Linked DNA regions of Struthio camelus. The protein of the gene in region 1 interacts with the protein of each later gene in a pairwise test. Links are inferred from orthologs where the notes say so. Each region holds a gene or a part of one and is shown in the gene's direction. Other genes may lie near its edges. The genes, in order: RASSF5 and RASSF2.

Evidence for each region.
Region 2: the proteins of RASSF5 (region 1) and RASSF2 interact in binary tests that used the Homo sapiens proteins (3 or more experiments, as listed by UniProt). The link is inferred for Struthio camelus from reciprocal best matches to the Homo sapiens genes RASSF5 and RASSF2.

What each region holds. Positions count from the first base shown.
Region 1 is NC_090965.1:7,800,933-7,804,828, forward strand, and holds the start of RASSF5 (ras association domain-containing protein 5), read left to right. Parts: upstream 1-1,164; 5' UTR 1,165-1,847; coding exon of another isoform or gene 1,848-1,881; 5' UTR 1,882-2,200; coding exon 2,201-2,342; intron 2,343-2,518; coding exon 2,519-2,637; intron 2,638-3,896. UniProt on the Homo sapiens protein: Potential tumor suppressor. Seems to be involved in lymphocyte adhesion by linking RAP1A activation upon T-cell receptor or chemokine stimulation to integrin activation.
Region 2 is NC_090968.1:2,541,273-2,545,168, reverse strand, and holds the start of RASSF2 (ras association domain-containing protein 2), read left to right. Parts: upstream 1-894; 5' UTR 895-987; intron 988-3,443; exon of another isoform or gene 3,444-3,594; intron 3,595-3,896. UniProt on the Homo sapiens protein: Potential tumor suppressor. Acts as a KRAS-specific effector protein. May promote apoptosis and cell cycle arrest. Stabilizes STK3/MST2 by protecting it from proteasomal degradation.

The sequences.
Region 1 (3,896 bases):
TTAGCAGGAAAACTAAGGCTCTTTTCTGCGTTTGCTCGTGGCCGTGTTGTGTTAACTCCGAAGTCGGTGGAGATGCTGCAGGTCCTGCCTCCTCCCGTCCCCGCCAGGCAGGGGCAGGTGTGCACGAGCTGCAAACTTTAGCTCGACATCAAAGTTTAAAAGTGCTCATGGAGGAGGCAGCAGGAGACCTTGGGCCCTTTTGGCCCAAATTTGGGGGCGATCTTATCTCGTCTTCCATGCTGCGTTGCAGGGGCGGCAGGTCTTTCCTGGGGTGAAAGCCGCAGCTGATGGCTCGGGTTTGGCTCGCCCCGGGCCATGTGGCTGCTCCCTGGGCCCCCCCTGCGTCGTTCCCACCCCGGCCAACTTCAGCTATGGCTAGGGGGGAATTTCTTTCGGTCCCTGAAATTTGTTGCTGCGTCGGGATCTGACTCGATTTTTATTTTTTTAAAGCAATTGTATTTCCAAGTGTCACTTGGGCTTGAATGGAAACTATCTCAAAGCGCAAGTGGAGGCATCCTGCTGCAGCAGCTCTCGGCAAGCCCGTCACGTGGCCACATCCTAAAGCCGTGTTTAGTTTCTAAAATTAGTGTTCCCTGCCAGATACCGGGTGATTAGGTCTGCTAATAGGTGGCAGTGACTAAGGAGGTGTCATACTTTAATCCTGTAAAGAAATGCCTGGCCATAATGGGCCTGATCCGGGGACGCGCTGCAACTGTGTGCCGTAATTGCTGTGGTCTATATGAAGCTCCAGCGACGTTCCTGTCTGCCGGAGCCTGCTGCTTTTGCAACCCTGGGCTGGGAATTTCCTTTTTACCGGCATTTTTTTGGGCTGGGGCCGTGGCCCTGCGGCAGGGAGCCCAGCCGGATGCTGAGGGCGAACCCAAATCCCTAGGCCGGGACCCGGGGGACCATTTTCTATCCTCCCGTTTTCCGTGCCAGGGAGCATTTCAGCCGCTCGCCCCCAGCCAGGATGCTGCTGCCGCTCCGTCGTCCCGGGGCTGCAATTCTGCGCTGCCGCCGAGTGCTCAGGTGCGACTGAAGCATCCTCCGATTGGTGCCTCCAGCAAAGACTTGCCCGTCGTCCCCTATTACAGGGCTCTTCCACTTGCACGAAAGGTCATGCATTAAAATTACTGTGTAACTGTTCCGCTTATGTCTAATTAAAAAAAAAGCCCTCCCTGCTTTCCCCCCAGGCTTACGCCAGCAAACTGGCTTGGAATAAGGAAACGGTAGGCAGCTCGTGCTGGATGAATGTCAGATAAGTGATTTCCCTGTTTCCCCTGCAGGCTGGTGCCTCCCCGCTCCGGCACCGGCTCCCAGCCGTGGTTCAGCTCCTCTGGTTCCCGGGCGCTCAGCACTGCCGAGCGGGAATCACCGTTTCCAGAGCAAACTGGGGATGCTCCTCTGCTTCCCTGCAAACCCAAGACGTTTGCAAGCAATGACCCAGAAAAAAGGCCACTTTTAGTGATCGTGGGCCTTGGGTCAGGGTGCAGAGCTCACCAAACCGTGGAGGTGGGAAGAGCAGTGTGAGCAGTGCTGAAACCTTCCTGTGCTCCGGAGATCCAAAATCCCGTCTCTGACTGTGCCGTGAACTCCTTTGCCTGGGATTTAGGTTTTCTTTTTTTTTTCCCCTCCCCCAGTTCAGTGACTGCTCTGGAATTTTGGGTCGTGTAAAAGTAAATTGAACTCTGTTTATACGGCAGTTAAAAATTAAAAGGATCAGTAAGGTCATTAAAGCAGAAGGAGGTGGTTAGCTGCAGCCAAGAGGGTCTGGAAAAGTCGGGTCTTCGAGGGAAAGGGCTGGGGAGCAATAGGGCAATAAATAAGTGGAACAGCTGTTTCTGACAATGCTGGTCGTGCAGCCGCCGTCGTCGGAAAGCGGTACCGCACGCCTTAAAAGGTTAACCCGGGGCTTTGTGAAGTTTTCCGTGTAATTTCTACCTCGCGCTAGTTAATGTCTTACAGCAGAACGGGTCGGCGGCCAAAGAAATCAAATGCCCGATTCCACCCGGGCAGCGCGCGCGCGCTCGGAGGTGGTCGGGTGCCGCCTGCCGCCCCGGGACGGGTCCGTGGCTTCTCCGGGGGCGTTTCGGCAGGACCCCGTGGTGGAGCCGTCATTTCCCTAAGGCAGCCGGCCCTCAAAGTGTTTGCACTCGCTGACTGCTTTCCTCCGCTGCCCAAGCTAGCTCACTAAAATTGAATGTTTTGGTTATTTTGTATATTAATCTGCCAGCAGACCAGGGGAAAGGGCGGCGGGGTGCGAGGTGCAAACCGCGGCCCTGCAGCAACGCGTAAAGGTTTCCTCCGCGGCGGGTGCGGAAGCAATTTTTGTTCTGGGTCAGGTGCTCTGCAGCTCTTCCCTCTCTGCCAAAACGGGTCCGCGTGCTTCGCTCGCGGTCGCGGACGCATAACCCGACCGCGGCCCTCGGTCCGGGGCGAACGGGGCTGCTTCTCGCTTGGCCCCGCGCCGCCGCGTTGCTCGTGCCGGCGCCTCACTGCTGTGTTTCCTCCTGCCCAGACTGCAGCTACACCTGCCACCAGGAATGCCGGAGCCTCGTCCAGCTGGACTGCCGCCGGCCGGGACAGCCCCTGGGCCAGCTCTCGCCCGACAGCACCCTGATGCTGAGCTGCAGCCAGGTAGGGCCGGGGGTCGGGAGCGCGGCGCTTCCCGGGGCCGCCGCCGCCGGCAGAGCCGGGCGCGCGCGGGAGGTTGGAGCGTGACGACGTTTCGTCGCGGATCGGAGATGCGGGGCCTCTTGGGAACAGCCTGCTGATGGTAAGCGGCCTCTGTTTTGGAGACCTGGTGCCTCCCTCCCTCCCGAAGGGGTTAGCCCAGGTCCTCCCCGCCGCAGCAGGAGAGGCCGAGGCGGACGCCTCCTGCGTCTCGGCGGGATGCAAGCGTGGGCTTTGCTGGCTTCGTAGCCTTGAGGGGTTCAGCAGCCCGGGGGGATCTAGACGCTGCAGTCTGCATCGGGGATGTGCAGTAATCCCCGCGTCCGCTCCGGAAGTCTTCAGCTGTTTAATGGCGCAGAGGGTCCCGCGGGGTCTGTAGCAGCCACAGCGGCCTGAAGGCAGCGTCAAGGAGAAGGCTGCGGTGCGTGCCACAGGGCGCATCAGTACGATTACTTGGTGCCACAGAAGTCGAGATGCGAGTTACTTCTATGCCGGAAGGTTAAACCATCGCTTAAAAACCCGGCCGCGTGGGAGCCGATTTGCACGGGAGGGGAGAGGATCAGGCTTGTTGGCTTTTGCTTGCGTCCTCTGCTGCTGCCGGACCGATGACCCGCAGCGAGGTGCAGCCGTTTCAGCGGGTGCCTGAAATTAATACATAAAAAATATATATATATTAAATAAATAAAGGTCGCAAGCGGAGGAGCGGGGCCGGCAGCGGGCCGGGGCGCGGGCTGCGCTGGGGGAGCCCCGGGGCTTCGCCGCGGCCGGCGAGGGAGGTTTCCCGCCCCGCGCGGCAGAAAAGCCGGTGTTTTCCCGCGGGGCGTCACTGGGGGGAGCAGGGAGGCCGTGCCGGGCCGTGACCTGGTGCGTGGGAAATGGGGGAGGCGAGACGAGGGTCACCACGCTGCTTCCTCCTGGCCCCAAAATCGTCAGTAAGCGACTAGTCCCAGGGCAGATGGGAAGCCCGCGTCTGATCTGCGCGGAAAATTCATTTACCCAAAGTAAATGGAGTTTCAGATGTTGGCTTAACGCTGCTTTTTGGTAGAACGTTGCTAGATACCTGGCTGAGATTTTTTTCCAGCAGCTTTTGCCCCTTCGTACTGTTTAAAACCAAGGTGGACTCTGGTGAAGAGTTAAGACTTGGGCCAGAAGCCGGTCTGCGGCAGCCTGGAGTTGTCCCTGGGCAACGGAGAGAGACTTTCCCGAAGCGGATTTAAGGAGAG
Region 2 (3,896 bases), on another chromosome or scaffold:
GGGGCCTCCTTTGGGAACCCCATCCTGGTACCCGGGACGGGGCATCCTTTGGGATCCCAATCCCGGGGCCCACCTGGGTGCCCGAGACGGGGCCTCCTTTCGCTCCCTTGCCTCCGCCTCGTTCCCACGCCCCCCCCCCCCCGACCCCGGGACCGCGGGCGCAGCCCTCCCCCCTCCCCTGCCTCCAGCCTCCCTCCGGCCCGGGGTGGCCCCGGCCGCGCGGGAAGGGGGAGAGATGCGCGCTCCCCCCCGCCGAGACGCGCGCTCCCCCCCGCCGAGACGCGCGCTCCCCTCCGCCGAGACGCGCGCTCCCCCCGCCGAGACGCGCGCTCCCCCCCGCCGAGACGCGCGCTCCCCCCCGCCGAGACGCGCGCTCCCCTCCGCCGAGACGCGCGCTCCCCCCGCCGAGACGCGCGCTCCCCCCCGCCGAGACGCGCGCTCCCCCCGCGGAGACGCGCGCTCCCCCCCGCCGAGACGCGCGCTCCCCTCCGCCGAGACGCGCGCTCCCCCCGCGGAGACGCGCGCTCCCCCCGCCGAGACGCGCGCTCCCCCCGCCGAGACGCGCGCTCCCCTCCGCCGAGACGCGCGCTCCCCCCGCCGAGACGCGCGCTCCCCCCGCCGAGACGCGCGCTCCCCCCGCCGAGACGCGCGCTCCCCTCCGCCGAGACGCGCGCTCCCCCCCGCCGAGACGCGCGCTCCCCCCGCCGAGACGCGCGCTCCCCCCCGCCGAGACGCGCGCTCCCCCCCGCCGAGACGCGCGCTCCCCCCGCGGAGACGCGCGCTCCCCCCGCCGAGACGCGCGCTCCCCCCGCCGAGACGCGCGCTCCCCTCCGCCGAGACGCGCTGCGCGCCGCCCCGCTCCGCCCCGCCGGCCCCGCTCCGCCCCGTCGAAGGGGGCGGCCCTACGCGGGCGGCGGCGCCGGGATGCGACGGGGGCGGGCGCGGAGCAGCGCGGAGCGGGGCGCGGCCGGCGGCGCCCGGGGCCGGGTGAGCGAGTGCGGTGCGGTGCGGTGCGGTGCGGTGCGTGTGCGGGGGGGGCCGCGGACGCGCAGGACGCGGCGGCGCCGCCGCCCCGGAGGCCTCGTCCCGGCGGCGGCGATTGTCCGGGCGGACAATGGAGGGGGCGGCCCGGACCAGGCGACGGGAGCGCACCCGCTCGGCGGCGGCCGAGCTCCCCCCCCCACCCACCCCCCCCGCCGTGGGAACGGGGCGTCCCCCGGGGATGGGGCACCCCGTGGGAACGGGGCATCCCCCGTGGGAACGGGCTCCACCACCGTGGGAACGGGGCGCACACCCCCCCCCCCGTCGGCGATGGGGCACCCCAAAGGGGATGTCCCCACCGCACTCGTCCTCCCCTCGGGACCCCCCGCCTCGACTTCGCGCTTCGCTTTTGCCGCTCCCTTTTCCCAACGCGGGGATGCAGCGGCGGGAGGCCGAGGCGTCGCGGGAGCGTCGCCGCCCGCCCCGGCACGCGACGCCCGGCCGGTGGGACGCGAGGTGGCCACGTGCCCCATCGTCGCCGCCCGGCGCGCGGGTGGCTCGGCGAGGACGGACGCCGTCCGGGCTGAGACCCGCCAGCTCGTTTCCCGCGGGCCGCGCGGAGCCCGCTGACGGCAGCTGGGTCAAACCGGGCAGCGCGACCGTCCCCTTGCCCTGAGCCAGCGTCCAGGACTCAGTTTCCCTTCGGGGTCGCGCGCAGCCGCTCGTCTCCATCGCGGCGGGGACCCTTCGTCCCCAGCGCGCTCTGCCTTTCCTCCCTTTCCCCTCCCGGAGCAGCTGGGCTGGCAAACAATAGGGCCCCTAGAAAACAATGGAAGCGCCGGCACCTCCGTGCTTAAAGAAATCAGCAATTAGTGAGAAGTCGCCCGTTAAACATTAAACCTTAAAAAATAAGCCGCCCGTGGGGCAAAGCAGCAGCGGGCGGCTCTTCCGGCGAGTCGCTCGGCGGCCGTGGCGGGGTCGTCGGCCCGGCTCCGGGCGAGAACAGCCCGGCTGGCCGTCGCACCGCGCTTCACAGGGGCTGCGGTGTAAAAGGGGAGAACTATTGCCTGCGGGGGGTTGTTTTTGCGCCTTGGGACGGGCGGACGTTGGGGCCGCTTTACGCGCGGCGCGACAGCGGCAAGGAGCGCGCCGGGGAAGGGGGGGGGGGGCTGCCGCTCGCCGCCCGCTGCCCCGGAGCCGAAGGTTTTCCGGCTTCCCCGTCCTTCCCGGGGGAGCGAGATATTCCCACAGTCCCTTGCGAAGGCGGGAGAGGCCACCGCAGCGCTGCCGGTCCCAAGCTGCTCGCGCTGCCAAAGCATCCGGAAAGCAAAAACACTCTGAAAAATGCACTTTTTCCCTTTTTTTTTTTTTTTTTTGGTTTTTTTCCCCCTTTTTTGGTTTGCTTCGCTGCCAGCAAGACCTTTTTTCTTTCACGCCTTACCCGCCTCGGAGCCGCGGCTCGCGACCCCTCTTCGTTGCCAGCGGACCTCACTGCCCCGGCGAGGAAATCGCATCCCCCCCCCCGCCAGGGACGTGGGCCCCGATATTGTGGTTATTTTTATTATTAAGGATTCGGCGTCGGATGAGCTGCCGGCCGAGAGCCCGGGCACGCCGTCGCCGTTCCCGCCGGGACGCCCCGACCCTCGCTCTGCCGCGCGGCCTGGGCTCCCTCCGGACCCCCAAAGCCGGAAGCGTTTGCCCCTGTTCCTCGCATGGCGATGCGATGACGGAGCCGAAAGCGAAACGGGCAACGGGGCTCGCGGCGGCTCCCGGCTCGGCCGCAGCATCCCGGCGCCTTTTCCCGACCCCCCCCGCGACGCTTCCCCGACGTCGCCGTTGCGGGCGATTCGGCCGCTCCGTGCCGGACCGCCGCCGCCGAGCCGCTCTCGGGGCCGTTTTTGGGGGCGGCGCGGAGGAGCTCCGGCGGCTCTTCCGGCGCGTCCGGCGACGTTTTGCTCCTCGGCAGGTTTCTCTTCTGCTTTTGCAAGACAAAGAGGCGCCGGCGCTGGGGGCCCCTTCCTGCCCTGCCGCTTCCGGCCGGCTCCCGCGTGGCTTCGCTCTCGCGGACCCTGCGCTTCGAAGCCTGAAGCCGGGTCTTTTTTGAAAAAAATTTTTTTTTTTTAATAAAAACTTCCTGCCGTCTAGGGCTGACGGAGGACGCGGGCAACGTGGCCGGACGCGGTCCGTCCCCCGCGCGTGAAAAACCCGGTTCAGTTATTTCGCCCGTTGTAGCGCTGTTAAAGGTGTGTTTGCCGCAGCTCTGGACCTCCGGCAGGGCTCAAGCCTGGGCTCTTGCTAAGCGCGGCCTGAAAAGCCCCGTTGCTAAAACCACCTTAAAGCTGCAGCAGGAGCTGCCGCAAGGAAGGGCCTTTCCCGGCGCGCCCCGAGCACCTTTCGCCCCCGAATCACTTTTTTTTTTTTTTTTTTTAACCGCACTTCCTCCCTTGTGAAAAAAGAAAAAAAAAAAATCCCCTCGGGCTTTAAGTCCGGGCCCTTTCAGAGGTCGGATTTTTGGGGCGGTTTTTTTGAGCGTTCGGATGAGCGAGAGCGAGGGAGACGCCGCGGGCAAGTTGTCTGGCTGCCAGAGGAAAGGCTAAACAGCCGACTGGCGAGGTAGTCCAAAAAAAAAAAAATAAATAAAAATTTAAAAATTAAATTAAAAATAATTTAAAATTTTTAAATTTTTATTTTTTTAAAAAAAAAATTAAAAATGTAAAAAAAATAAAAAAAATAAAAAAGGCTAGACGCCGCCCCGTCTCATCTCACGAGGGCGTTCGGGCTTTGGGAAGCCCGACGGCAAGCAGCGGGACGGCGGGAGCGCGGCGTGCCCGGCGCTGCGCGGCCCCAGCTGGCGCGAGAAACGGCTGGAGGGACCCGACGCCTCCCCCCCCCCCAAATTCCCTCCTCACCCAGGG